Linked DNA regions of Astyanax mexicanus. Each later gene encodes a partner of the first gene's protein in a complex. Links are inferred from orthologs where the notes say so. Each region holds a gene or a part of one and is shown on either strand. Other genes may lie near its edges. The genes, in order: vti1b, bet1l, stx4 and sybl1.

The links.
Region 2: vti1b (region 1) and bet1l share a complex: the UniProt entries of both Homo sapiens proteins name them as parts of the SNARE complex. The link is inferred for Astyanax mexicanus from reciprocal best matches to the Homo sapiens genes VTI1B and BET1L.
Region 3: vti1b (region 1) and stx4 share a complex: the UniProt entries of both Homo sapiens proteins name them as parts of the SNARE complex. The link is inferred for Astyanax mexicanus from reciprocal best matches to the Homo sapiens genes VTI1B and STX4.
Region 4: vti1b (region 1) and sybl1 share a complex: the UniProt entries of both Homo sapiens proteins name them as parts of the SNARE complex. The link is inferred for Astyanax mexicanus from reciprocal best matches to the Homo sapiens genes VTI1B and VAMP7.

Annotation. Positions count from the first base shown.
Region 1 is NC_064414.1:8,057,265-8,064,696, forward strand, and holds the start of vti1b (vesicle transport through interaction with t-SNAREs homolog 1B), read left to right. Parts: upstream 1-4,418; 5' UTR 4,419-4,588; coding exon 4,589-4,685; intron 4,686-6,621; coding exon 6,622-6,680; intron 6,681-7,432. Other genes in the region: rdh12 (retinol dehydrogenase 12), read right to left, coding at 265-420, 528-658, 2,407-2,477. UniProt on the Homo sapiens protein: V-SNARE that mediates vesicle transport pathways through interactions with t-SNAREs on the target membrane. These interactions are proposed to mediate aspects of the specificity of vesicle trafficking and to promote fusion of the lipid bilayers.
Region 2 is NC_064409.1:47,838,351-47,846,071, reverse strand, and holds bet1l (BET1-like protein), read left to right. Parts: upstream 1-4,711; 5' UTR 4,712-4,915; coding exon 4,916-4,937; intron 4,938-6,509; coding exon 6,510-6,595; intron 6,596-6,719; coding exon 6,720-6,776; intron 6,777-6,984; coding exon 6,985-7,152; 3' UTR 7,153-7,617; downstream 7,618-7,721. Other genes in the region: kcnj11l (potassium inwardly rectifying channel subfamily J member 11, like), read right to left, coding at 856-1,063, 1,167-1,436, 1,885-2,121, 2,312-2,470. UniProt on the Homo sapiens protein: Vesicle SNARE required for targeting and fusion of retrograde transport vesicles with the Golgi complex. Required for the integrity of the Golgi complex.
Region 3 is NC_064422.1:28,696,855-28,704,692, reverse strand, and holds the start of stx4 (syntaxin-4), read right to left. Parts: upstream 3,005-7,838; 5' UTR 2,821-3,004; coding exon 2,791-2,820; intron 2,727-2,790; exon of another isoform or gene 2,156-2,726; intron 769-2,155; coding exon 661-768; intron 167-660; coding exon 67-166; intron 1-66. Other genes in the region: si:dkey-220f10.4 (tubby protein), read right to left, coding at 5,913-6,046, 6,810-6,981, 7,122-7,220, 7,392-7,506, 7,602-7,714. UniProt on the Homo sapiens protein: Plasma membrane t-SNARE that mediates docking of transport vesicles. Necessary for the translocation of SLC2A4 from intracellular vesicles to the plasma membrane.
Region 4 is NC_064417.1:2,196,115-2,203,464, reverse strand, and holds the start of sybl1 (vesicle-associated membrane protein 7), read left to right. Parts: upstream 1-4,347; 5' UTR 4,348-4,483; intron 4,484-5,724; 5' UTR 5,725-5,778; coding exon 5,779-5,924; intron 5,925-6,631; coding exon 6,632-6,689; intron 6,690-6,874; coding exon 6,875-7,012; intron 7,013-7,350. Other genes in the region: polr1d (DNA-directed RNA polymerases I and III subunit RPAC2), read right to left, coding at 3,208-3,249. UniProt on the Homo sapiens protein: Involved in the targeting and/or fusion of transport vesicles to their target membrane during transport of proteins from the early endosome to the lysosome. Required for heterotypic fusion of late endosomes with lysosomes and homotypic lysosomal fusion.

The DNA.
Region 1 (7,432 bases):
TCGTACAAAGGTTTGTATTCATCATCATGTTTCATTACACCCAAAGTCCATTTTACACCGGAATTCCCCTTTAATGCTGCACCACTTAATCTTAACAAGTTTGGAGGAGAACAATAACAATGCAAATTCTGATACAACAGCTAACAGCTAAAATCGACTGCACTAGGTATTGAGGGAGAAGGGTTCCAAACATTTTAACTTGTGATGAAACCTGTTTCTTTTATCAGTCACTGGTGATGTACAAATTGGTGTGTGTGAATTTACCTCTGAGGAATCTCTGTGCAAAGACTCGGATGGAGCGGGTATCAGCCAGGTCCAACTCCCGAACCTCCACCTTAGCCCCACCCACCCGCCTGCGGATCTCTGCGGCCGTGTCCTCACCTTTCTCCATATCCCGACAGGCCAGGATCACCCGTGCACCTGCACAATAACACACACACTTTACATCTACACTTTATTCTCCAATGCTCCTCTTTATATCTTTGTTTTTTTCTACAGTGAAGTGTTTGGCTGGGGTGCTCCCTCACCCCGCAAGGCCAGGTCCACTGCCGTCTCCTTCCCAATCCCGCTGTTCGCTCCTGTAATCAGTGCAGTTTTCCCATCCAAACGTGCTGTGGAGAGACACACTCCGCCTGCTGCGTATTTCCTGCAAACAAACCTTTAGTTTTTTTTTGTAAGTGTGTAGAAGTACATAGTTTTTACTGTCAAATTATACACTATACATACACTACAGACTCATGTTGGATTAACCTCACTACATAACTACTACTTTTTTACTACAAGACATTGCAGATTCATACTGGATTAACCTGACTGTACAATATTTATGTACTATTTTTACAGTAGATTGATTGAAAACACCACATGCATTGCAGATTTTTACTGGACTACAAATATAGGCTGTACTATTATAGGAAGCCAGATAAATTGTGATATATGTACTAGTGCATTTAAAAAAAAAAAAATATCATTGAAAAGTTACTTTATTTCATTAATTCAGTTCAAAATGTAAAACTCGTATATTATATAGATGTATTAAACACAGAGTGATCTTTATTAAGCCTTGTTTTATTGTTGATGATTATGGCTTACAGCCAATCAAAACCCAAAAGTCAGTATTTCAGAAAATAAGAATAATACAAAAGACCAACTAGTGTTTTTGGCAGTGTCCTGCTGGAGAATGAAATCCACATCTCAATAAAAGTTGTCAGCAGAAGAAAGCATGAAGTGCTGTAAGATTTCGTGGGAAAACACTGCACTGACTTTGGACTTGATAATAAAACACAGTGGATCAACACCAGCAGATGACATGACCCTCCAAACCATCACTGATCATCAGTAAATTTTGCATTTCATTTGTAAATCAAGGGAGCAGAGTCTGGAGGAAGAGTGGAGAGACACACAGTCCAAGCTGCAGATTTCATTTTTCAGCAGGAATTGGCACACTGCCCATACTGTCATAAGTATCAATTTGTCTGATACAATATTCTAATTTTCTGAGACACTGATTTTTGGGTTTTCATTGGCTGTAAGCCAAAATCATCAACAACTCTGTGTGTAATCCATCTATATAATGTGTTTCACATTTTAACTGAATTACTGAAATTAAGTATCTTTTCTATGATATTCCTTTTTTTAACAAAGTTTAAAGATTACACATGTTCATTTAATAGTAATTCAGGATTCTGTTATATTAGCTCTTGTAATATTTTTTTGTTTAATTTCAGTCTTGGCAATTAATTTTATACTAACATGAGAAGAATAGAGCCAAACCAACCTCAGTACTTGTGGCAATAAATGTACTAAGACGTTTCACTAAGGTCTCGTAATAAAGTCGTCATTACTTTATTAAAACACTATTTTATATACAATATTTTATCCAGAGCATCATTATAGCCTTCTCTGCCCACCTCCTCTGAACACCCCCACATGCCTCCAGGTGGTACGACCCACACATAATTACCATACGCAGTCCTCTGCACCCAATCAGCCTTCGCCTACACTGTGCATGCATAATTAGCCCCGCCCCCAGGAAGATCTTATTGGCCGCCTTCCTAAACTGATCATATTCAGCGGAGGCGGTTACTATAGTGGTCGTGCACCATTCAACTGAACAAAACCAGCTCTCTCAACCAGTATAATGAGATATACATTTATAAAAAACATAAAAAGATGTATATTAGCTAAATTACAACACACAGCTATATGCTTACTATCTAATATACCCGACTAAGGCCCCTGTCAGCGAGCCTGAGCTTCACACTGTTTACAATTAGAGCACAATTTAGAGCACATTCTCGCTGGATTATACATTTCTATTAAGCGTAAATATGTATATAAATATATTGCGCTTAAATCCTGCTTTAAAATACAGAGAAAGCTCAGCACACGCAGCGATGTGCCTACCTGATGTGGGAGGACAGCAGTCTCAACACTATAGCTACGAATCCGAAACCTGCCACCACGACAGCGAGCATGATCCTTTACAAATAAAAACTCAATAAAAAAAAAACAAGGAGAATTCAGAAATCCTCAAAAACAAGCCTCTCTGCAGTCGTGTGACTGCTGATGCGAATCCGTGGGGCTGTTTAGATTTGGTAACTCCCACTTTCTCTAGCGCCCTACACAGAAAACAGCTGGGAATCATGGGATTGTAGTTTTTGTAGATGGGGACTGTAGTTTTTTAATCAGTTTCAAAGAGTTACTCAGGTATTATACATAGTAGGATTTAAAATACTTCTGTAGAAGTTGAAGTATCAACTCAAGCTTTTTACTCTTTAAGTAAAAGTGTAAAAATACTGCTTTTAAAAATACTTAAAGTGTAAAAGTAAAGGTCATGTAAAGGGGAAAAAATGCCATTAAGGACAAAACCTTGGGACACATGGCCCTATAGTGCAACCCTACTCTATCTAGATGGATAGATTTATCTGGATAGTTTTTTTTAATGATAGAAATCCGTAATAAAAACAAGGTGTAATGAAAGGAGTAGAATATTCTCTGAAAAAATAGTCATCTGAAAGTTATCTAAAAAAAATATTACTCTAGTAAAGTATAGATAACCCAGGTAACGAAGTATGTATATGTATATATATATATATATACTTTTTACTTTATTTTTCTGTATTCTAACAAAAAACTAACTGGAGTTGTAGTGTGTAAAGTATTCTTTAAGCACCTCTCTTAACTGAAAATCATAAAGTATTCAAAAGCATAGTACTCAAGTACAGTAGGTAAAAGTACAGTACTGTGTTACTATGTGTTACTATGTAATTATTACAGACAGCAGCAGCTCACTTTGGTTGCCAGTGGTTTAGACATTAATAGCTGTGTGTTGAGTTATTTTACAAGCTGTACACTAGTGAAAGATCAGTATAAGATCAGCTTGGTGATGAGAAATTTCCTTAAACCTTTTGACAGTGCAGTCCCTGAATTTAATAAACTGCTTCCTTAATTTATTAAACAATTCCCTCACTTTAATAAACAAATTTCTGTTCCTCAATTTAATAAACTGGTCCCTCATTAAAGAAAAATCTGTAGTTAACCTGTGGGGACTAAATGAAGATAATTATTTACTAAATTGAGGAGATAATTTAATAAATTAAATTAATTATTTATCAAATCAATGAAACAAGTTGCCGAATCTGAAAAATATTAATTTGATTGTTTTTTTTAAACAGTACGTTTAAAATATGTTTATAATATGTTCATAATTATACATTTCTTTGAAACATTGAACCTAAGCCTATGTTGAATTTGCCCACTTCCTATTTCAGCCGCTAGAGAGAGCACGGGAGTAAGTCCTCAGGGAATGAATTTTACTTTTAGTACTTCAGTACTACATTTTACAATAAACTACTTGCAATACTTAGGTACAAAAAATGTTTTTTATTACTTCCACTTGTGCTCTACTCAAGTCACTTTTTTTTTATAGAGCACTTTCTCAAGCCTGGGTCTCTAGAACTCAGGTCTGGATAATGCTACACTACAACTGATTGACCTTTTGGTAAGCCGATGCTGGAGGCTTGAAAGGCTTATAACTTGAATTTAAACGTTTTAAAAATCATATGATATGGTTATGTGTTAAGAAAATGTATGAGAAAAGTACATGTTACAGTATAAAATTTGAAAAACACCGTTATTCTCCGATTTAGCTCCATTTGAACCAATTCATTTTAGACTCTTTGATTGAACTACATAGACCACAATGCGCTGCTTTGTTAAGGACGCTGAGAGTCGCCGCAGAAAATGTCGTTACAAATTTCAGTGCAAACTTTAGATTATTATTATTACTTTGTTTAGAAATGTAATATAATATCTGCAGTGTTTTACAGCTCGTCCCCACAGGCCGATCAGTCCGCACTGCGGAGTTTTATTATGCAGGCATGTTCTCAGGGCTCCTATAGTCACGCGGTGGGATGAGGAAGCGGAGTTGATTCGCTGTGTTTATTATTGTGAAGCAGAGAGAGCTGGGAGTTACCGGTGGTGTAAACTGATTTATATAGCGTTATATATGGTTTAGAGCGGCTGATTATCTTTATTTAAGTGTAAAATATTAAGGCCTCTCGGCTGCAGTGAAGAAAGGGGCAAAATGTCGTCGGAGGAGTTTGAGAAACTTCATGAAATGTATAAATCTTTATACGATGAAGTGAAACTGATTCCTGAACGAGTGCTGCGGAGCCACGGCGGTATTTATACTATTTACACCAGCTATTCCATTTATTAATCACCAAAATTATATATTTAGCTAACTAACTTACACAGTTCACAGGTCAGTAAGCAACACCCAGCTTTAACTATATATTCACTGAAATACAACAATCAGAACCTGTAGATAGATAGGTTTCAAGCCTGTTTTTGCCATCCTCTGCCTGCAATTGCATATCTCGGGGCTTTCTACTTATACTGACTATGAACTAGAGGCAGTTTGATAAAGTATTATGACTGAAAAGCCTTTAATGTTTTGTTAGAAAATAATTAAATATATTGAAATAAATCTCCAATGGTGAATGACCCTTGAGAGTTGTTGTGTGGAAACATTTTGCCTGGGGTCTAGCAGGGGTCATCTTTCAGCCTGTACAATTTAACTATAATATCCCAAACAAATCCACGTACAGTAGGCCATTGCTTTTCCTAGTGTTTTTTTGGAATTGATTTAATGAATAATTTGAGTGTTTATAGTGTAACTTGTATTCATTCAGGAAAACGTTCTTGCAATGTATTTTTCAACCCGAATATTTATTAGAAAGGGTTTAAAGTTCAATTGGCATCATAATTGCAAAGCTTTAAAATTGTATCCTATATTGAACCTACGCTGGGCCAGTCCATCACCTTTATATTCAGTTTTATTAGCAAGTCAGAATTGTCTTGGAGGTGTCCTGCGGAGGATACTGTCCTGCGTCCCAGTTTCCGAAGGACTGTCACTCCTTACAGCTAGCAGCACCTTATATAGCCCAAAACCAATGACACTCCCACCACAATGCTCATCTTTAGAAGACGCTACCTTCTAATAACCACTGGAAACCATTGACAACCACTGGAAACCAATGGAAATCTTAGCTTTTTTGTTTGACTTTGGCGTGGACTGTCCTGAGTGTAGGCTGTACTGTTAAATGCCTGGATATCACTGGCAAGCATACTGCAGCTCAATTTTAGGGCTTTGGCTATCTTCATGTAGCCTAGTCCAGTGTTTCTCAACCTTTTTTATATCACGACACCCTTTAAATATATGCGAGATGTCAAGGCACCCCAGTTTAAGGGGGGGGGGGGGGGTGCTGGCGCAGTACTTCAGGTGAGAACTGGGGTGATGTGCTGGCGCAGTACTTCAGGTGAGAACGAGGGGTGTTGCTGGCGGAATTTGACATAAAATAGCGCGTGCATCGCGTGGGGGACAAAAACTTTACAGTGTTTCCCAATTTAGGGGCTGCATCCTTCAGAGGCTGTATTCGAAGACAGATTGCGTCACAGCTGCGCAGTAATCCACCGCCTCTGTGGGTCGCATCCTTCATAGTATGCTGCCTGTGAATTGGGACACACCCCGACACGAGCTGACTCTGGAAAGGAAATATGCACGTGAGGCGCAATATTTTGACGGCACCCCCGATGAAGCCAGACGGCACCCCAGGGTGCCGCGGCACCCTGGTTGAGAAACACTGGCCTAGTCCATCTTTATGTTCTTTTTTTCAGATCCTCAGAGAGTTCTTTCCCGTAAAGTGCCATGTTAAATATCCAGTGGCCACTTTGAGAATGTGTGAGAGCAAAACCACCAAAAATTCACACCTGAGACCTTGTTACACTAACAATTCCATTTTGACTTAAGAGTGTACTCACTTTGGTCGCCAGTGGTTTAGACATTAATAGCTGTGTGTTGAGTTATTTTCAGAGCACAGCAAATGTACACAGATATACAAGCTGTACACTAACTACTTTACATTGTATCAGTGTTTATCTTTAGGTATAACTTAAGCTATAATAAAACTTTGCAAAAATGTGAGGGTTGTACTCACGTTTGAAAGATACTTTAAATGATCTATGTTCTAATATACAATAATGACTATGTATGAAATATATTATGTGCAGTTACTGTAATACAAATTATGTTTGTGTTTCTTTTCTGTTCTTTAGAAGAGAAGAAGAAGTTAGTGAGAGTGTTTGATGAACGTCTTGGGGAGGCAGAGGAAGTGGTGAGTAACTAATTTTACAGCATTTGCAGCTGTTTTTGACTTTTGACATAATGTGAATCTGGCAGTTGTCATTTATGTTATGTCAGAATTACCAATGACTTAATGACTCCTATATGATGATATAGACTACATAATATGTCTGTAAATCTAAATTTTTGGTAAAACCTGCCCAGTGTTTCACAAATAGTATTAATGCGCCCCGTCTGTACCTGTTTGCTGCTTTAACACTGTATTCAACCCAAGTATCAAAGTTTATTTAGTATAAATATAAGAATTTCATACATGCAGTAGAAACAAAAAAAAATGTTTGTGATTTTTTTAATCAGTAACTTACCAAGACCCTGATTTTGTATAAAATAGTAGTGTAACAAAAAGGAAAGAAATGCAACAACAACAGTTTACCACAAAACTAAAGTGTAGCATATAAAGTGCAAAAAAATGAATAAATAACAGTAAATACAGTAAATAGCAAAAAAAAATACAAAATAGACTGCTTTGAAGAACATTACTATTATCACGCTATTGAATTTTTTCTTGTGTCAGAATTTTTGCTGAAATGAATGCTTATGATACGATAAGGCACACCCATATTTACACATGTGCGCTTTATGCTGTCTTGTCTCATACTGTTTGTTCTAATTTGTGTCATGGTCCTGGAGAAACATCATTTCTTGACACTCTGTACTTGTACTGAGATGGAATGACAATAAAAGCCACTGAACTTGATATGCAACTTGTAGTGCAGGAGTATC
Region 2 (7,721 bases), on another chromosome or scaffold:
TGGCTTAGAATCTCACAATATTTGTCCCCATAAATTCTTCCCTTAACACAGATCAGTCGTCCTGCCCCTTTGCAGAAAAACAGCCCAAAGCATGCTGTTTCCACCCTTATGTTTTTGGAATGCAACTCAGTATTCTTCTTTCTCTAAACATGACCAGTTGAGTTTTCTTCTGGATCATCCATATTTTGTTTGCCTTTGTTACTTTGGTCCCAACTCTGCAGGTCATTCTTTAGGTTCCTCTGTGTATTTCTGGGATTTCTGCTCACCGTTTTCATGATCATTTTGACCCTATGGGATGAGATCTTGCGTGGGTCCCCAGATGGAGGGAGATAATTAATGATCCTGTATGTCTACAGTTCTTTAGTCTTTGCCATGGTGGAGCTGAAGTCTGATTGTTTGAGGCGATGGAGAGGTTTCTTTTCTACAGATAACGAGGTCAAACAGGTGCAAATAATACAGGTAAGAAGTGGAGGATGTTACAGGTCTGTGAGAGACAGAAATCTCGCTTGTTTGTTACTGACCAAATACTTATTTTCCACCATAATTTACAAAAGTCCTACAATGGTATTTTTTTCTCTTTTTTCTCAAGTGTAACTATGATGAAAATTACAGACCTCTCTCATCTTTGTAAATAGAAGACAGTGGCCACTGTAAACTCTAATGATAATTGTTGTGCATTAATATGTAATTTTAATTTACTAAGCATATTTTTCATTTTTATTATTTTTTAATATCAATTTAAGAATTTAAGTTTTTATAGCACAACAAAGTAGTGATTTCATTACGTCACATGAATTTCCCTTATATTAAATGCAATGGCATGCATGACATCACACAGGCCAGAAAACAACCTACCTTCCAGAATTACAATGATTTCTAGGTCCTCATTGGGCAGTGACTGGGCAGAGACCTCATAAAGTGGGCTTCCTCTCTCAATAGTGTGACTAATGATCAGTGGTGAGACCAGGAAGATGCCATTGCTCCTGAGGGGGTTTTCCACCTGGATGTCCAGCTGGCAGACTGGAATCACCTCCCCTTCTGCTGTTACTGTCCTCCGAATGACCTGAGCACAGAGTGACAGAACACGATCAACCAACATCCACCTCGTGGAACTAGAGCACCTTTACCTGCAATAGACTATAATAAACAGCTCAGCTCTTCCTCACCTGCAGCTGAATGGTAGCAGAAATTATCATGCTCTTCCTCAAGTCTCCAACACGGAACATGAACGTGGGCCTGCCATTGCGTGGTGCGATGACAGCATTGCGAGAGAAGATGAGTGTCTCTGCTCGTCGATTAGCCTGAGCTGTCTTCATGAACACACAGCCCAGCATAACTGCATTGATGATGAGTCCCAGAATGTTCTGGATGATCAGAACGGTAATGGCCAGTGGGCACTCCTCAGTCACCATCCTCCCACCGAAACCGATGGTCACCTAACATTAAAAATAAAAAATACAAGATTGTTTAGGGTTGCTCAGAAAGCCAACACATTTTTTTCATTGGTTATCATTAATTTTGCCACTTTTTTCATCAGTGAGTAAAATTAAATAGGTAACACATTTTTGTCTGGGTTTAAAAAAAAAATAAAAAATTTTGACTGAACACACTAAACTCTGAACATGTTTAGCATTCTAGAGGACACACAAACAATATTGTTCAGTACAAATTATTCAATCTTTTCACTTATTTAGCAGAATACCAAAAGTGCTCTTTTTTGGCCAAATAATATAGGGTTCTGAACATTTGGTGCATCCCTAGTATTGTTAGGGTTGTTATATGTGCCTTTTCAACTCTATATAGAACCCTTTTGCTATGAGTGTAGACATCTAAATAGTACAAGACTGTCCACCAAAGTTTCAGTCTATGCAGCCATTTGCTCACCTGGACTTCGATCGAGAAGAGGAATGCTGAGGTAAAAGAGTGAATGGCAGTGACACATGGAACATGCCCACGATCATGGGGGTCACGTGGCTCCAGGTCACCGTGGGCAAATGCCAGGAGCCACCACACCATGGCAAAGAGCATCCAGGAACAGAGAAATGCTGAGGTGAAGATGAGCAGCGAATGCTGCCACTTGAGGTCGACCATTGTGGTGAAAACATCCTGGAGGAACCGACCCTGAAAGGAGAAATAAAAGTATGCGAATAATTCATACTGATGCATCTTTATCAAAGAAGAGCTTTATAAAATAGTGAAATACAGACATTTTTCACTTTATCAAGAATCAGTTTAACAGGTTATAGAATGATGTGAATGCATAGCAAAAACAATTTTATAAAGTAATGACTGCGTGATCCAAGTGCTCTACCTGTTCTCGTATGTTCTTATGAGCAACATTGCAGGATCCGCTCTTGGTGATGAAGCGAGCTCGCTGCGATTTGGTCCGGAAACGGTTGGGCTGTGTGGCATCTTCAGCCAGTCTTGTCAGCAGAAATCCATCAGGCAGGAGGCCTTTCCGGGCCAACATTGCTGAGTTTTAGAGGTTTGCTCTTAAAAACTATACAATAAAACACTAAATAAACTACTATTCAGTTTTTTTTTATTAGTTTATCATAATAGTGTCTACTTTAAAGGTTGTTTTATGAAATCAATCTATTTCTATTTGAGAAAAGACTAAGTTACGTTATTAAATGACAAAGTTACAAATTAAATTAGTTATTCTGTTATTCATGGGAAATGCTGTTCTTGAAACAGTAGTTTAATTTCACTGTGCTCAACAATACCAGTGAAACAACAGGTTTGAGTAAAGACCACTACAAAACATAGCTAGGCTATCACTCAAAATACTATGGTTCAATTACTGACAGATTATATCCCAGTTTTTTTTTAATCCAGCTATCCACTCAAGAGTAGAGATATGGAATTACAGCACCAAAGAGAGATTAATATTATTATCTCCAGCTTTAGTTTAACAGCATGAACGTGACCCACTCACATCCAGGTGTATCAGATTTCACTGGATTTAATCTATCCACGTTTACAGAAGCCTTTTTTATTTTCGTCGGTAATAAATCTTACCATTGTTTTACCATAAAAATCAGATAAATAAAAATCGTTAAATCTACGCTGTATTACAACTGAGGCATTACTAATTAAAACAGCAGATTATCACCAGTCTAAACACAGCACTCGACAGGACTCACTTGCTACGTGCGCAGTGTGATATTAACTACAACAACAACAAAATACAGTTTTTATTTAATCACATAAACACTGGCAGCTAGGTTTAGCTTGCTAACATACAAAATCGCCAAGTTGCCTTATCTAGTGCTCTCTGTTTAGCTATCGATACCTAAGAGAGGTCAGATAGCCAGGTTAGCTCGCTTATTTGAATGGATGGTCATCCAGCCGCCATTCGCCATAAACCCCCATCATAGATAAACAATTCCTATGTAAGCTCGAGTTAATAACGCTGAAATACTTAACCCGCGAAATTCGCAACAAAATACAGAATAATTCCAGGAAATAAATGAAGTTAAGATCATCCTCATGCGCGCGAGAGAGCTGTCTGGCGGGTTCTTTACGGAGGATGCTCGCGTTATCTAGCTGAGCATCTTATGCAACGCATCTGTGATGATGATCAGCAGCAGCAGCAGTGTCTCTGAGCGGAGCGCCGCCGCAGCTCCACATCTCATCCCCCAACCAGAGGACCAACATATCCCACAACCCCCCGCGCCTCCTCGCTCAGGATATAACAACCATAGATAGTAATACATAGATGAAACTGGCGTGTCAGCGTGGCCGCCATATTGGAAGAGTCAATCATGCGCCCCCAGTGCATTTATTAGTGAAAGGTGTTTAATACACCTATAATAATCACAAATCTACCAATTTATACCCGATTTTCACACGGTTTGGTTTGTTACAAACAGCAGAGATGTAGTAATGATTCAGGACACTGCCACACATTACGAATATGTGATTTCAAGCTGAAATACTTTATATTATGCTCTTTAACAAAGACAGACATATGGTATGACATATTAATAAGTGTATACATGAATTAATTTTATATTTATATGTACATACATACGCATATATACATGCTTACACATACACATACACACACACACACACAATACTAATAAATGCATTCATGGGTTCATAGTTGACTCCTCCAATATGGCGGCAGGCTATGTAGCGTCTATATATACATGTCTATGCTCTATGTGGCATCTATGTATAAATGTCTGTGCTCAAAACGCCTGGCCAGCAGAAGAGCCTCTGATAGAGAGGAGAATACCCAGTCGAGAATCATTTCCGGGCTTTTTAGGGGGCGCTCCCGGCCGAAAGCTGATTTTATAAAAGTTTTATATTTTTAATTTTCAACAAACACTAATTTCTCACAACAATATCACATGTTTCAGCACCGCACACATGATTTTAAACGCTTTCAAACTGCAGTTACAAACCTTTTAAAGACGCCTTTGTTGAATCTCCATCAAAAGCTCACCAACCAGTCAGACCACAGTAGCAGTAATGCTAGCGAGTTTGTTGTCCAAAAAAAAAGAAAACCATTCAAACATTTCTTAGCCTTTTTTGTAGCAAAATACTCTATTTCTCTTTCTATAATTATGGTAATATCCTGGGTACATAGTTAGACACTATTTTAATTTAAGTTTTTAGCCGTTTAGCTCCACTCACCACATTCATTAAGGACTCCCTCGCGGGCTCCCTCTGGCGGCCAGCGGTAATTCTCTGATATAACAGGAGAGACAGGTATAGTGTGAACTCTCTATAACCCGGCTCTGATCTCACACAGACTCCTGCCGTGTTGTGGATTGTGACGAAACGGTCTCATACGAGTGACTATTGGTATCTGAGTGTCTTTTAAGACTGATTTTATTCAGGTTTCTTCTCCGTCACTGTGATTTAACAGCGGGACTCTCATAGTGAAGGATCGTCTGTAAAGATGGCTGATCACTGGAACAGGGGTGAGTGACACGTCGCTCCTCTTATACAGCAGTTTTTAAAGTTAGAGAGGGCTAACTGGATCTCCTCAGTTTATCAGTTTACATCAAACTGAAATTCACCGTATTTATTCTACTTCTGACACTAAAGTATCAGTTCTTTACCTCTAATGTTCTTCGATCATAATGAAATGCCATTTACACGGTGTATTAGCTCATCTGCGCATTTACACTGGTTGGGTTAGCTAGCTTTAGCTGTGTTAACATATCAGAGGATCCTGTTGTCAAGATTCCAGATTCACTCAAATCCACTGTACAAACATTCACACGAGGCTCTTATAAATTATAATTAGTAATTTCACTGTCAAGCGTTATGTTGTTTAAATTGGGTGAAAAATAGAGCATATAATATAATCTGCTTCTCAAATATGGAGGACCAGAACTGCCAATATAATTAATTAATTAATTAATAAAAAGGAAATGAAGAAACAAAAAAGAAGTAAGGAGTAAACAAACACTAGCTAATTAGTTAATTCATTTATTTTTTATTTTGACATTTCTGGTCCTCCAAAACACCTAAATAAAATATAGACATAAACTGTTCCCTAAATGTTAGAAATCGTTTTCTCATTTTAACCATCTGTTCCTTCTATAAAATTAACTATTTGTTCAGTTAAGAAGGAGTCCTTTTGTTAAATTGAGGAAACAGTTTAATATATTGAGTGAATGTTTTTTTTTTATTAAGGAAATGCTTTATTAAATCAAAATAACATTCTATTAAATTAATGGATTGTTGTAAGTCTCTAAATATTACATTTTTCAAAGAATAAATAAATACATAAAGGAAACACTAAAATAACACATTGTATATGTGTCTCAGATACTTTTGAGACAAAAGCATCAGCTGTTTGCCAAAATGGGAGGGGCACTGGGTGATGGGGTGGGCAGAAGGAGGAGCTGATTGGGCTGAGCAGTGTGCCTCTAATAGCGGTGAGATGTAGATGTTGGACCTCAGTAGGGGGCAGTATTATTGATTGACTGATTTGCAGATTGTGAGTGTCTGTGAACCAAAGTACACCGACACATCATCCTCACCTATAACAGTCGAACCTGAGAGGGTGCTGCAGAGGCAGAAATGATGGCAATAAAAGAGTTTTTTAAAGGTTAGGAAATGTTTATAAAAAAATATATATATATATATATATATGTAGAAGGTTTGTTTTCATTTTAGCTATTAATTTCAGCTATTAATGAAAAAAATATGGTTTGGGGTCCCTTTAAGAGGAAGCACTTTAATTAAACTGAGGAAACAATTTATTAAATTGAGTGAATGGATTTTTTATTTAGAGTGAATGCTTTATTAAATAGGGGGAATCTTTATTACAGTGAACAAAAATATTATTAAATCAAGAGAACAATTCACTAAATTGAGGGAACATTTTTAGTCTCTTAGAATTATTGTCACCTTGATAGAATCACATGTTACCTGCACAAAAAAGGTAATCCAATAATTTTATGGTTAATTAAAAAAAAGTATTATTTACTTTTGTGTTTAACTATAAAATGTATGTGCATCTTTTACCACTGTCTTCCTAGGACATGGGGCTGTAGATGACATGCTGGATGAAGAAAACAAACGCATGGCTGACAATCTGGCAACCAAAGTATCTAGATTGAAGTCGGTATGTTATAATCACTTATATCAGTCAATGAAGACAGTCTGTCTAAATAATTAACAATGTGTTCATGATTGGGCTAAATTTATAAATGTACTTTGTTTTTATTTATCTGTTTTGTCATTCACAGCTGGCATTTGAAATTGACAAAGAGGCTGACGAACAGAATTCATACTTGGATGGCATGGTGTGTGTTTTCTCTGACTCAATTTAGAATTTATCTAAAAAACACTGCTGTAATATATCCTAAGACTAGATATATTATGTTCAAGATCAAATGTATGTTTAGAAAAGTGTTTCTTAGGTCTGAATAGCCAATCTTTTACAGTATAGTTTCATGTAATGGAAACATGAGGTCTGTAAATATGGTAATTTTTTGTATCATCTTCCTTTAGGACTCAAACTTCCTCAGTGCAACTGGACTGTTGACAGGGAGCGTGAAGAGGTTTTCCACAATGGTCCGCTCCAGCAGAGACAACCGAAAGATTTTATGTTATGTATCCATAGGCTTGGTGTTGACATTCTTTTTGCTTTATTATCTAGTCAGGAGAATACAGAACTGAAAAATATTTATATATTATCTTCTCAGTTTTATGAGAAACAAACATGTGTGAATGCAGTACTCTATTCTTCATGTTTACACAAAAACAGTTTTACTAATGGGCTTGCTGGTTCTAAACCTGGTATATTTAAAGGGTGAAGTGAACTGAAAATAATTTCTTTAAGATCTGTCTGTTGTTTTCCAAAAGACTTTATAACTATAAAAATATTTCTTTCATGCATTCCAATCTTATTACAAAATAAATTGTTTTTTAAAGACACTTGTTATGCTTGAAAACATAATGAGTATACCATGGACCAATTTCTGTTCTTCTAAATGTTTTCTCTTTTGTGTGCATACATACATGCTTGATTTGAGTGTGAATGCTTTGATCTTATATGGCTGAACTTTAAATCAAATTGTTGAGTATGTAGCTAAGAGTTATGTTTAATACTGAGAGTAGATATAGTATATAAGAAAAATAACTAATAAAGTTTGTTTTTTAAACATTTTTGTTTTCTTTTATAATTTTTTTTATCTTGATTGAAGTGAATAATTTGTTACAGACTAGAAAATGGGCATGCTGACAGG
Region 3 (7,838 bases), on another chromosome or scaffold:
TACTGGAATAGATACACAAATAATAGGCTGAAATTATATTAAATAAGAAATTATAGAGATATTAACTGTCATCTGGCAGTGCCACCCCTAAAACAGTTTTCTGTTTGTTCTCCAGTTCAGCCACTTTCTTCTTAAGAGTTTCAAGGCCTTCTCGGATCTCTTGGACCTGTAGAGCAAGATTAACAATATTAGGATGGAAAGTTGTAAAATTAAAAAAAAAAAAAAAAAAAAAAAAAAATTTAAAAATTAAAAAGCCAAAGCAGTTCATACTGTTGAACAAGAAGATTCGCTTATTTATTCATATTGTCATGTTCTCACTTCTAGACAAATAAATAAACAAGTCCTCTTGTTGTGGACACTTTTTTGGCTTTTTCACTGATGTATTTGTTTGGGTCCTGCACCTGTGTTTTATTGCACACTTGTAAACTTTTAACCATAACTGAACTAAAACCTCTATTTTATTAGTACTGAGATTATAATAAATAAAATCACATTTCACTTAAAACTCTAACTGATAATTAAGATGAAATTAATTAAATGTGAGACTGTTGTAACAATGCGTTTGTTTGGTTTATCTTAACTGACAGAGAAAGAGTTACATGTGCTCTTTGCTTACCATTTGTGTTAAATACATGTGCTAAAATGTTTTACAAGCTTTACCTTTCTGAAGAAAGCCTCATTATCTTTATCTTCCTTTCCAGAGTTTCCAGTGCCTGGTTTTATCATGAGGGCTGTGCCTTCTTCATCTTCATCTGAACCCTCTGCAGGCTATGTGGACATGGAAATGTATGAGGTAAAGAAGAGCTACAGATTAGTTCCCTTATTTTAATGTTTACAGCAACAAATGACCAAGTAAATGAACTAAACACTTAAAATATAGTACTATATATAAACAGATATGAGGTAAATAAGAAGGCTACAAAGGGCATTATCTCTGTATGCTCTAACAATTTTGGCAACAATAAAATGTTAACAAGTGTAAGAATACAGTTTTATGCATTTTTTAGACATGTCTTCTGACATGGTTAAGAAACACTATGATCAATGTCCATCCACAACACCCTGTACCCCTAGGAGGGTTTTGTACTATATATTACGTCTCCTTCTTTATCACACACAATGCTAACAGCAACACTGATTCAGCAAAAACCTGCCCCACACTCGCGCTATAAACACGCCCCAAAACACCATACAACAATAAATATATACAGCTGTATACAAAAACATCAACATAGCCTCTGCACAATGCTGCACACGTGTATGCAATTCCAGAGTGCCAGATTGCATTGAGCATTTTCATGATCAAACACACCTGATTCAACACATGTTATGTGCCAGGGTTAGCAGATCTGTAAAGCAGATGGTTAGCAAACTGTGCAAGAATCTGGCAACCTACCACTGCCACTGCACAGGAGGTTTTCTTTTTTTTTTGACAAATCTCAAACCTGGATAACCAAATCAGTCCCTAGGCCTTTGACCAACTGTCATTCAGAACAGTCACTTAAAATATATTTCCAAGCTTTAGAAATTATCTCTTAAGACTAACCTTAAGACTAACATTTAGCAAACATGTTTTTTTTTCTAGACCACTGTCCAAAGATTTAAAAATGAAAGTAAATGCCCACAAGCAGAAAAAATATACTAGAAAAGTTCAGTTTGTGGTTTGTACAGTGCAGGCTTTGGCAGTTCAGTGGAACAGTGGAGGTTGAGATCTGCTCACATGCAGGTCTGTAAGTGCTAAAACCTGCACAAAGGAAAAAGTGGTGAAGCTGTTGTTGAAAAAAATGCTGCATCTCATGAACAACAACAACAGCATAGTGTACATATGCGAGTAGTGGTTGTGTGTGTGCAGGTGTGTAATTGTTGTGTAATTATTGTGAATCCAAATACATTTTTATTTTCCAAAAAAAATAAATAATAATTAAATAATAATATAATAATTAATAAAAAGAATCTTAAAAATTCAACATATTTTACCTGATGTGTACTAGCTTTATTTAACATATTTAACTACAATTTAAAATGTGTTTAGGCTATACATGCTAGCTTTTTAGTAGAATACTAAAGATTTTTGTTCCCCTTCAGAAAACCAGATAGTTAAATGTACACTGCACAAGAGTGTTTATACAGCTACAATTATATACAAATTACTCACAGGCTGTGGAGGTTTTCCTGTTAAGCAAATAAAATCCTTGGTCCCAAAACATTCTAGGTTAAAACGGATGTGGAAATTCTGTGGCAGCTCTTAGATTTCCTTTCCTCTTAAAAAATCATGTATATGTGTGTGACAGACCTGGATATGCTTGAACACGAGCAAAATAACTAATCAAAAAGAACAGAAAATCAGAGTAACAGCAGGTTAGTGATCTTCAGAGAACCGTAAAATACACTCCACTCATTTAGGTTAGCTAACTAACCCACATACTAGCCTGCCAGAGTAACTATCTTGTTAGCTTAGCTAGCTTGCTAGATAGCTTTTTAGCTAGCTAACTACTTAGATAGTTTGCTACATTCTAATACATTTCTGCACAGCTAAATATTTTAATATAGTTGTCGTTTAAGATTTTTAACGAGGATAATACCCCATAGTTACATAAATATGTTATAATGTCACATTAGCTGCAATGTTGTTTAGCCAGCTAATGCTACATGACAGCAGAGCTAGCTAGCCTCCAGCTAACCTGCTAAGTCCACTAGCGCTAGGCTCCCTGAGTTTAGCTCTCTGACGGGCTCCAGTAGTTTCAGCAGGGCTGCAGTGAAAAGTTTAAGCTAATCAGTTAGTTAACTCACGTTTCCCAGTTCTTTGGTTCGGTCTCGCATCGTTGCTCCTTGTTTAAACCCTCTCTACAGACTCGGGCTCTTCATCTAACGCACTAACTTTGTTGACATCAACAACAGAAGAAGGGAGTTTCCATTCAAAGTCAAAAAGAAACGGCTCTTCCTCAGTGTGTGACACAGCCACCATTAAAGGCACACCATCTCCACCTACTGAGAGCCCTGCCCTCACGCCCTAAACCCTCATAAAGGTCAGCATACAATAATACTGTAACACTTCAGTTTCTGAATCAGTTTCTCTGATTTATCTCCCAAATTCCGAATAAGAATATTGTCATTAGGAGCATTTATTTGCAGAAAATGAGAAATGTCTGAAATAACAAAAAAAGATGCAGAGCTTTCAAACCTTAAATGATGCAGAGAAAACAAGTAACTATTCTTAAAGTTTTAAAAGAAAAAAAAATCATCAAAAATGGTTTTTAATTACAGTTTTCAGGCATCTTGGCATGTTCTCCACCTCCAGTCTTACACACTGCTTTTGGATAACGTTATGCCACTCCTGATGCTAAAATTCAAGCAGTTCAACTTACTTTGATGGCTTGTGAGTATCCATCTTCCTCTTGATTATATTACAGAGTTTTTTTTAATTTGGTAAAATCAAAGAAACCCATCATTTTTTATTTTAGTCTTTTATTTTTTTCCAGAGCTTTATAATATAACCTTCCTTTTGTGTCCGCAGCATAGTTCTTTAAATGTCATATAGACACTGTGTATTAATACTTTCCCAAGATTTAACTTTAAAGCACTCTTTGTACATTTTGTACAATGCGTGGCCATGACTTATAAAGGAGTGGGAATAAAATAATTAAGTCTGCATGGACAAAAGTTATTAAAACTTGGAAACAAGATCCTAATGCGTGGCCACAATTTTTCAAGTCACGGCCATAGTCGTGGTCATCTTTTTTTTTATACATGATGTCACCTTAGGGGCTCTGTAGTTTTTCTATGCGAGTTGTTTTGCCATATCCAGAGTGCTGCCAGGAATCATTAATTTAGGGGTTAAATAACATATTTATGAAAAATGTAGTAATTAATAATAAAAATATATCAAGCTATTTAAACATGGCCAAAAATTGCCTGTCCACCCTGTCATATTGGGATAACCAGCTCCCTAAAAAAGTAACATTTGACATCTGTGACATCACAAACTTCACACTGTTTTATTTCTGCAAATACTTTGTATTACAAAAAAAACTTTGTATTAACTTATCATAAAATGTATAGTGTAAATGACAGTTTAAATAAACATATTAAAACGTGTTAACTAGTTAACAAAAAACAAGAAAAATGTAGAAGGTCTTGTTCTGGCAGTGTCAAAATTCTGTTTTTAGAGCTAGTATATAATCAAACAGCTGTTAAATTACTTTACTTTACTTTCATTGAAGTTAAGAATGTTTTATCTCTCTTCTGTAACATTGCTGTTTTGAAGATGCACGTTTTTCCTTGAACAGCAATGATATACCGTATTTTTCGGACTATAAGGCGCACCGTATTATAAGACGCACTATCAAAGAACGCCTATTTTCTGCTATTTTTCCATACATAGGGCGCATCGCATTATAAGGCGCGTTAAGTGACACTAGAAAGGGTGCCTATATCAAAGTGAACAGGGGTGGCGCCATGTTTCCCTTCCCCCACCGGGGGTGGTCGCTTGCCGGTGGAGCGTCTCAGTATATATAAATCTAGCTCTTTCAAAGTCAAACGAGTGCTGGATATTAATCTACACAGATTCCTCTCCTGAAAACTGTTTTTTTGGGTGAGTAACGTGCTTCAGTTTATTTACAGTAAGCTTAGATTTCCAGATGTCCACTAAGGCTTGCTGCACCAGCGTTAGCATAGCTATCCGCTAGCACGCTAGCTAGTCACCTAAACTAGTAAAGTTAACCCAAACTTAAACGACAGCGTTACACTGAGTAATCCTGCATGTTCTGGTAAGACAGTGAGATATTAGCTAGCGATTCGTCCCCCGTAGCTTGTTTTAACACTGTAAACAAGCAGATTACAGGCTGATAAAACTCACCTCTGAGAGAGTTAGCGCTTAGCATCTAGCTAATGCTAGCCAGGCAAAGCAGCACAGACTTACAGGCCGATAACTCACCTCTGAACGGTGAACGCTTAGCGATTAGCATCTAACTCTAATAATACTGCTCCAGCAGTATTAAAAGTGCTAAATTTAGAAAATACTGATCTCTGAACAGTGAAAAAGCTAGCTAGCTAAGCGGTTAGCATCTAGCTAATGCTATTGCTGCTCTGCACGGAGTGTGTGTTTACTGCTCCTTACACCTGACGGGTAAAATTTAGATAATACTGATCTCTGAACAGTGAATAAGCTAGCTAATGCTATTTGCTGCTCCAGCCTCGGAGCTGCACGGCTCTGGACTCTGTATAGCACTGAAACTCTGTATAACGCTGCACGGAGTGTGTGTTTACTGCTCCTTACAACCTGACGAGTAAAATTTAGATAATACTGATCTCACTGAATAAGCTAGCTAGCTTAGCGGTTAGCATCTAGCTAATGCTATTGCTGCTCAGCCTCGGAGCTGCACGGCTCTGGACTCTGTATAGCACTGAAACTCTCTATAACGCTGCACGGAGTGTGTGTTTACTGCTCCTTACAACCTGACGAGTAAAATCCATACAAAAGGCGCACCGTATTATAAGACGCACTGTCAATTTTTGTGAAAATTAAAAGTTTTTAAGTGCGCCTTATAGTCCGAAAAATACGGTACACGGTTTATTTAATCTTACAAAAATCATACGAGACGTATTCTCTTTAATACATGATTTTTTTTATTATTATTTTTCAAACACCGGTAAAGTAATTATTTTTATGGAATGACATGTCATAACATAAAAAAATAAGAAAATACAAATGTGAGTATAACCCATAACTATTGTAGCTTATGCTTATTGCACATTATTTTTGCTGCCTCCAAAACTTGCTGACAATAAATATATATTTTGTCCAAGAATACATGAGAACTTCTGCTACTGAAGTTCTCCAAAGGCCATAAGTCCCCAGATGTGGTGCCTTCTAGTAGCCTAAATAGCACATTCATACAACGAAAGCCGTGAGTTCATTCACAAGCCAGTTTTCCATCAAATGAGGACAGAGTGATGGCAAATGCTTGCAGAGCACACATGGGGAAGCTGTAGTCCATGGAGAAAACATCCTCTGCCACTCTTCCAAACTGCATTACAATGTACTCCTCTGGACAACACAGAAGAGAGAAACAAATATTACAGGCTTATTTTACAAACATCTGATAACTCTTTTTACATTCATGAAAAAAACATTATCATGGCCAGGTTTCAGTGTCTTTTCAAAGTGCCTCATGGTGAGCATTTATATCCTGTCCTTGCTGTGGAGCAACACACTGCCCCAAGTGTTAGTGTGATTATCTGATGAGCCATTGAACAGTCAGACACCCCAGTAGTGATATAAAGAGAACTATCAGCTTATCAATATGTGCAGAACATCCTGCAGCCACATGTGTTGTGGAGGGTTTCCAACAGGTATTTTTCAGCAGGATAATGCTCACCCACACACTGCAAGGGTTTCCCAGGAAAGTCTCTGCCAGATTACAACAATTCCTGGGAATTTCTGGATATAGCCTCTTTTTTCAACTGTGGTTTTGTAGCCTTTAGCTTGCTAAGCAGAATAAGGTAGGTAAAGGTAAAACTTGTTAATAGATGCTCAGTAAAAACACAACTTATATGTCATAAGTTTGAAAAAACAAAAAAAATATTCTTCTAGGTTTGAAACCATTAATACATTAAGTCAGTAATTTGTGCTGCAAAACTCAATCTCACACCTTGAGGGCTCATGTCACACTTCACTTAATCTAAAATAGTAATGGAACGTTCCTTAAGGTTGCCTCTGGGTTCCCCCACATGTAAACTGATGCAACGTCTATAAAGGTTTGTTTAAACAGTATTAGAACATGCAGAATGTGTGTGTTTCCCCTACTAACCGTTATCAGGATGAACAATCTGGAAGTTCTTCACAGATGCCTGTGTCACTCGGCCATGGAAATTGAGCACATACGATTGAGTCTGCTCGTTCCAGCTGGGTGACTTATTCACCAGACACACCAGATTCTCCTTATTTCCATTTTCATAACGAGTGAGGAGAGATTCGATATCCTGCGAGAGTGAAGAATTAAAGAGAGGCTGAAGAAGTGAGATCAGGTGCCCACAAAGAAACAGTAAGGGAGACTGAGAGTGAGGAAGAATGAAAGTGAAATGGAATTATACAGGGCAGATTTACAGAAAACATTACTTACGCTTTTTGGACGAATACTGACTCTTTCGTCATTCTCATGCATGCCAGGAATGATCACTGTCATTTTCCTGGGGCCTTTAAAGCCCAGAATGTTTTTCTCCTGTTTGATGGGGAATAATGACAGTGACAAATAAAATGGAAGTAAAAAGAGTAATTACTGCATCCTGTAATTCAGTATACATTAAATAATGTTTTTTTCTTTTTATTATATGTTTTTAAGTATTATAATAAAATATTGACCACAAAGTTCCTTATGACATGTTTAACTTACATAGCATATTGCTGCAAGCTCTTGCCGAAGTGATTCACTTTCCTTAATAAACTGCTTCCTTTCTGGGTTTTCTCCATTATCATATACAGTGAATTTAGTCCCTAAAACATTTGACCTGCAATGAGAAAAAATCAATCATTAACAAACACGTTCTTCCTTTGCAAAGAGAACTAGGGTTAGAAAAGCAGATGGAAGGATAAGATTAATGACCTGAGTTTGCCTATATAGCTGCTTGTGTCTCTGGATAAATCAGTAGGATCAGTGGAGATCAGATAATTGGACGTTGTGCTTTTCTTACGTTTTCTTCCAGCCATGAGAAAAACCTGAGAAATATAGAATGAAAAAATAACATTGTCATTAGATACTGAGGAATTACTACTTTTAATTAATACAGTCATAAAAATGCTATGAGGTAGTTTAAGGAATTGGGATAGGGTAATGTATTTA
Region 4 (7,350 bases), on another chromosome or scaffold:
TTCAGAGCATTTATTTACAAAAAAATATAAGAAATGGCTGAAATAACAACAACAACAAAAAAAAGATGCAGAGCTTTCAGACCTCAAATAATGCAAAGAAAACAAGTTCCTAATCAAGTTTTAAGAGTTCAGAAATCAATATTTGTTGGAATAAACCTGGTTTTTAATCACAGTTTTCATGCATCTTGGCATCATGTTCTCCTCCACCAGTCTTACACACTGCTTTTGGAAACATTCAAGCAGTTCAGTTTGGTGGTTTGATGGCTTGTGATCATTCATCTTCCTCTTGATTATATTCCTGAGGTTTTTAATTTGGTAAAATCAAAGAAACTCATCATTTTTAAGTGCTCTCTTTTATTTCCAGAGCTGTATAAGATCAGTAATATCAGTTCTCTATATCTGATGGAAAAGCTCATTTAATACACTTGGTGGTCAAAGAACTAAACGGCCTCCAGTGCTTTGGAAACACCTGCAGTGTTCACAGTCTGCATGATTCTTCATGAAGTGAGGAACAGAAACTCAGTAATGCTTTAAGACGTGACTGATGAATTACAGGCCTATTATAAATGAACACAGTCAGCTGCTGTTTCTAAACAGGAAAGGAGGGAAAGAGAGGAGTGAGACGACTCCACTGATCAAATGCCAGTTCTATTGTTTTGTTTAGATCAGGAAAGAGGTGTGTTCTGCTTTCAAAAACTCAGTGAAACAGTGATAAAGAAGGTGGATGAAGGGAGCAGCTGATTAAAAACCCCATTAACAGAACAGGATAAAATCCTCTTATCATATAGAGACTGTTTGAAGTCTCTAATTGTGGGGAAATTAGACGGTCTGTGCAAAACTACAATCTCAGCATCAAAGTCTAGAAAACCATGTTATCATTTTTTTGTGGCATATTGCACGTAACTGTGATAAAGGAGGAATAAAAATAGCACACGGAGGCCAAATAAAGGAGTATTATTCTTTCTAATTCAAAACTGCAAAATTGCCTGCTCGAAATATGCATTAGTATATGATTGAAAATAAGATATGTAGAGAATTTTGGTGTAAAAAGCTTTAAAGTTCTATGTAGGGCAAATATATTTATATTTTTAAGATTTATCACTTTTCTCACTTTATAATGATTCAATTACAGCATGTTCATCAGTGGCTTTAAGTCAGTATTTATTTTAAATACTTTGCTTAATTAAAAACTTCTATTTTTTTTATTTTCCTTTTATATTCATTTTAGAATACTTTAGCATTAATTGGTGTTCATTTTTTCATTGCCTTTATTTATATAATTGGTAAAAATGCAAGTTATTTGCTTTTATAGTGTATTTATTTTTTACAGATACACCGATACATCTTTATTTTTATTTTAAAATAAAAATTAAGATATCTGTTGTAAATTCATCTGCATGTGTGTTTTCATTTACTCACTTGCAGAGGGTGTTTTGGGGCCACATATACAAAGACCGGGATAAGGTAATAAACGTTTTATATTTTGTTTATAGATTTTATTGCACTAAAAAGAATACATTTCTCATTTTATTCACAGTATACAAAACAGACTTATTACACATTGTTTACAGTCTCCTCCACAACTATACATGCATAACAAGTAAAACACGTTTGACCCTGAACTACACATAAAGACACACACTGTTTTGACAATTTACATAATTTAAATTTTATAATAATCTAATTCTACCATATTGAGCTTTTATATGTGGTAATTAACTTTCAGTGCTGCGCATTTTAATAATTATACACTCAGTATCTTCTACAGCACGCCGCCCCCTAGTGGTAGAGAGGTTAAACTGCATCAGTAACATATCTTCTCTTTCTAAACAAATGTGTATTATACACTATGTATTATACGATCAGTCCAGTCAAATGTGTACACACCTCTTGTGTGTAATAATGTATCTAAATGTAATATAGATAAGATAATAGGGTAAAAAGTCTAGTCTAAACCTAGTCTGCCTGGTCTAAACCATACCATTATTACGGTCTCTCTATAAAAAAAATAACAAAAATAAAAAATAACAAACAAAAAAAAAATAGAACGACCAGCATTATAAAATAAATCATCATGATGTTTAGAAATATCAGCTGACTGTCTGCAGTCTGTGCTGTGTTCATTTATAATAGACCATTAATCTTCAGTTTTATTAATCACAGAATTGCTGTTGTGTGACATTTTTAGTTTGTTTATTTAAGTAAAGATGCATATTTAAATGTTTATTTAAACTTGTTAATTTTGTGATAAAAATGGCTTTTGATGGAAAAATGGAAAAAAAAATTCGATACTGTTGTTTTAGTAATAATTACAAACATATTTAAAAAACCTTTAAGGGACAACTTGTAAATATCAGTTTTGTTTTTTTTACTGCATTGCCAAAGTATCTGATCGGCACTCTGTATCGGCAGAAACTCAAAATCAAATGACTCGGACTCAGGGCATAAAAAATGTGATAAGGACATTCCTACTAAATGTGGCTATTTAGAAGAATCTAGAACTGTGGTACTTTACCAGCCTTAAGATTTTATACCACTATATTTGCATTACTGCTTATATAGGTTCTGTTTACAATGGTACTGTCATTTGTGTATCTTGTATCCCATGTCTATGTCTGTAACCCTGTTGTATTGTACATTTAGTGTCTCTCATTCTTTATATTTTATTTTTATTTTTATCTTGCTGCATTTGTTGTAACTTTAGGAAGGAGAGTAGTAATTTTAATCCTCTGTATTTTCTGTAAATATGCAGAATTGACAATAACACTTTTTGATTTGACTACATTTAGTACTGTGAAATACAAAGCATTTCAGGGTGGAAGACCAGGTGACAAACCAAACGGCATACAGTTTTCTGTACAATTTTGAGCATCCAGAATGTGAGCTATGGTTTATTAAAGGTTCAAACTTAACATCAACGTTGTCATTTAACGTTGAAATGCCAGCATGGTTGGTTAAACTATGGGTGATACATTGCTTTAAATATTTGGGAACCACATATCTACAGTTTAAAACATGTTCTGGTTTGTTTAACACGTTTTGTTTACAGAATAATTCTGCATGTGTTCCTGTATAGCCTTAATACAGTCTTCAGCATTAAATTTACAATGTAAAAATAATATAAAAAGAAACACAGTGAATCAGAAGAGGTGTCTAGTTTTTGTCTAATACTGCAGATTATATAACGTAAATATATATTAATCCTACCATCTCCAGCACGCGCTTCTTCTCTGTATCTGCTGCGGCCATGCTCGCGTTCTGGACCGTGGCACGCGTGTCGCAGCATTATGACGTTCCGCTCAGAGGAGTGACGCGTTCTGTTATTATAGCTGCAGCAGAAACATCAGCTTAAACTGCTTTAATGCAGCCAGGAGGGAATAATAATTTTTTTTGTAATTGTTATGTGTGCATGCGCGTGCTGCTCGTCTCGGCGCGGGGACTTTTTAATAAAAATAATATATTAAAAAACAGGTGTCACTCAAACACAAGCACGGGTTTGTTTACGGGACGGGTAAAGGCTGGCGCAGGTTGATGATGAAAGTTATGGTCAGCCACCAGAGAGCGCTATTCGTATGAGTGCCGATGGAGTAATAGTGAAAACAGATTATATTAAAAAAATATGAGTTTATATATTTTTATTTATTTAAACTAAACAGTGTCAACACAGAACGATATAAAATGTTTCATTAGCACCAGCGTATTTGTAAAGCTTTAAAACTCTAGTTATAAGGCTTTAAAACATTTAAAGTGCTCTGGTTGTGACTCCCAGAGGCATACTCAGTAAATATTTTATCCATAAAATAAAATGTACAAAAAAATCGGACCTATTTAGGCCTTATTTACTCTTACATATATTAAATTCAATATATACAATGTAAAAAAATCGTTCTAAATTAATGAACATTTTGAGAAAATTTCATTTTGTTTTTTGGAATTATGCATATGTATATATCTTTAATAAAATAGTTCCATTGCTGCTCTGTTTGTAGCTGCACTGTTTGGCTTGTAAGCGCTGCATCATTTCTAGATTATCTGTATTTGGCAGAGTAATACATGGAGAGCTTCGGTTACAGTGCATTATCGGCTGATAACAGCACTCATAGAGTGCTTCTCAAGCAATCACACTGCAGGGTTGGAACTAACTGTGGAATAATGCTAAATAAAACTGTTAATGCATCCCTAGGCTCTGTCAATTTTGTCACATGTTTAATTTGCGTTTAAAAAAATACACAATACATTTTCCAGATTAACTGCATGCGTTAACACGTTAATTTTGACATCCCTAAATATAATATAATTTCACCCACTTCAGAAAAAACTACACTGAACCTGCGGTTGAACTACATTTCCCGGCAGCGCAGCGGAAGCTCGGGGTCTGGGTGAAGCTGGGCGATGCGGAAAGAGCTCGCAGGAGCTGTGGAGGATTGTTTTCATGACTACAGCGTGTGGATGGACTCATATGCGTGATTTAACAGCGTGACAGGTAGCTGTATTTTCTGTTTATATGTTATTCTATATTTGCTTTATATAAACTAACAGCTGGATGTAAATATAACTGTGTTTGTTTGTTAGTTAGCTGAGTAACGCTGGTAGAGTTGGTAGAGTGTTTTGTGATTAGGTTGATCGCAGGGATGTGCGGTAGATACAGTTCAAGTGCTGTAATATTTTGTATTATTGCAGTATTATTTAGATGCCATCTTTATGTAGCTGATTACTGAGGAATTTAGGAGGTGGTTGGTGGGGTGCTGGCGGGGTTAGTGAAGGCAGATCGGGGCTGGAGTGTTAAAGAGAACGGGTGGAGGATCTGGGAGAATCTCGCAGCTTCCAGAGGCTGTTGTTGTGGTAGCTAACCTAGCTAATGCTAATGCTAACGCTATGTGTTTCGGTTTCATTATGTCCGTGGTGTGTTTTATATCATAGCCTGTAGATAAAGTTAGATAGTGCTGGTAATAGGGTTTCTTTGTGACGAGAAAAATGCGCTATTTTTGGTTTTAAACACTGTCGGTCTCTAACGCTGCTAGCTAGCGTTAGCTATCATATTAGCTTGTGACTCATCAGGAGCTATAACTAACATTAGCTTATTTAACCCTAGCTAACTAACTAGCTAATTACCACAATTGTGTAAACGAGATGTAATTTCGCGTACCTGCCCCTAATAATGATTAATACAACATGACAAGCTGTTTTAGTCTGTGGTCTAACTTATTCTTTACTCTCATTTTAGGTTACAGCTCTAATTTTATTTGCTACTGCTAATGATAACATAACTACATGACATGTGTAGACATGTTATTATTAGCAGTAGTAAAGAAAAGTAAAGCAGCATAAAGTTATCCAAAAGCAGTGTGTAAGACTGGTGGAGGAGAACATGATGCCAAGATGCATAAAAACTGTGATTAAAACCAGGTTTATTCCTCCAAATATTGATTTCTGAACTCTTAAAGCTTTATGAATATAATCCTCTTTTCTTTGCGTTATTTGAGGTCTGAAATCTCTGCATTTTCTGGAAATAAATGCTCTAAATGACAATATTTTTATTTGGAATTCGGGAGAAACGTTGTTGGTCGTTTATAGAATAAATCATATACCTATAAATAGCAAAATCAGAGAAACTAATTCAGAAACTCTTATTTTTTTTGCAGAGCTGTATGTGTTTTAATATTGAGACATAGAACAGGCAACAATGTTGTGGTGTAGACTTATATTTAACATTTTTATCTACAGCACCTGCAGCAGTTTTTAGTCAGTAATTCGGACCTCATCACCCTCGTCCCTGCTATGGCAATCCTCTTTGCTGTGGTGGCTCGTGGAACAACCATACTGGCCAAACATGCCTGGTGTGGTGGAAACTTTCTTGAGGTGACAGAGCAGATTTTGGCCAAAATCCCGTCCGAAAACAACAAACTCACCTACTCCCATGGCAGGTAGGATGAACAGCCTACAGACTGCAGGCATTAGATTTTTTTTTCATTTTTGCTATTAAAATGTCTAGTAGTACTAAGACACAGCAAGTTTCTTTATTTAAGGTGAATTCCATCATATTTCCATTTGGAAAATTTACAGATTTTGATTCTTTACGATGGTGGTGATGAGAACCAGGTGTAGTGATATCTGATGCACATTCAAAAAGTCTCTACAATTAATGCATGTAAATAATGCTAAATGCTAAATAATAATAATAATATAACAGTGTCTCAGGCATGAAGCAGCATATCACAGCTGTCCACTGGAAAAGCATGTAGCTGCATTTTTTTTTTTGTCAGGTTTTACATTTTTCGGTCCATTGTTTGAAACCTGTATATGCTCTGTACATTCTAAGTGTAGATGATTTTTGCTTTCACCACTGTAGAGATACATGTTTTTCATTGCACAGCAAGGATATGCATAGCTATTTAATATTACAGATATCTGTAAGGAAGCATTTAAATGCATTAATTTCTTAAGAAATCTGGTTTCTACTAATGCAAAGAAGAATTATGGTACTCTGTAATTCTGTATGTTTCTCTTGAATAGCAAATTTCCTACATTTAGAGGTTGAATTTTTGTAAATGTGGAGGATTCTCCTTTGATATTGCCTTTTTCCTCCAAGTGAACTTTGCTAAATTATTGCCGTGGCTCTTCTCGATTTCAGCTATCTCTTCCACTACGTCTGTCATGACAGAATCATCTATCTATGTATCACAGATGATGTAAGTATGAATCCCATCCTGATTGACTTTTGTTCTTGAATGTTCTGCAGCTAAATCTGTGATCAGATCATTAACATTAAATCCTGATCATGCTTATTATTAGTAAACTTGAGTCTAGAGTGATTTGTTTTACATCATATATGAATGTCAGTGAGTGAGGTTGTTTTGTGTGCCCTTGTGTGCAGGATTTTGAAAGGTCGCGTGCGTTTAGCTTCCTCAATGAGGTGAAGAAACGTTTCCAAACCACCTATGGCTCCCGGGCTCAGACAGCTTTACCCTACGCCATGAACAGTGAGTTCTCCAGCACTCTCGCTGCACAAATGGTAAGTTGCATCAAACAGTTTATGTTATACATTTATAAAAGTATACTTCCTCAGGTTCCACCTTTCTCTTAATGTTGCTGTTTAGTTCCAGAGAAGAAGTCTTGTATACTTGCTTTCACTTTTCAGATGAAACAGTTCTCTCAAGTTATTATTATTATTAATTTAACTAGGGATGCACTTATTTTTTTCAAACGGAGGGGAAGCATTTTAATTTATATTAAGCAATGACAAATGTATCAATCATATTGTAGTGTTTCCTCTAATATTAAGATTTTTTTGTAGTGGTTTGAATGAACCCTGTAGGAGAAACTACAAGGGCCAGACTTAAACCTTCTACA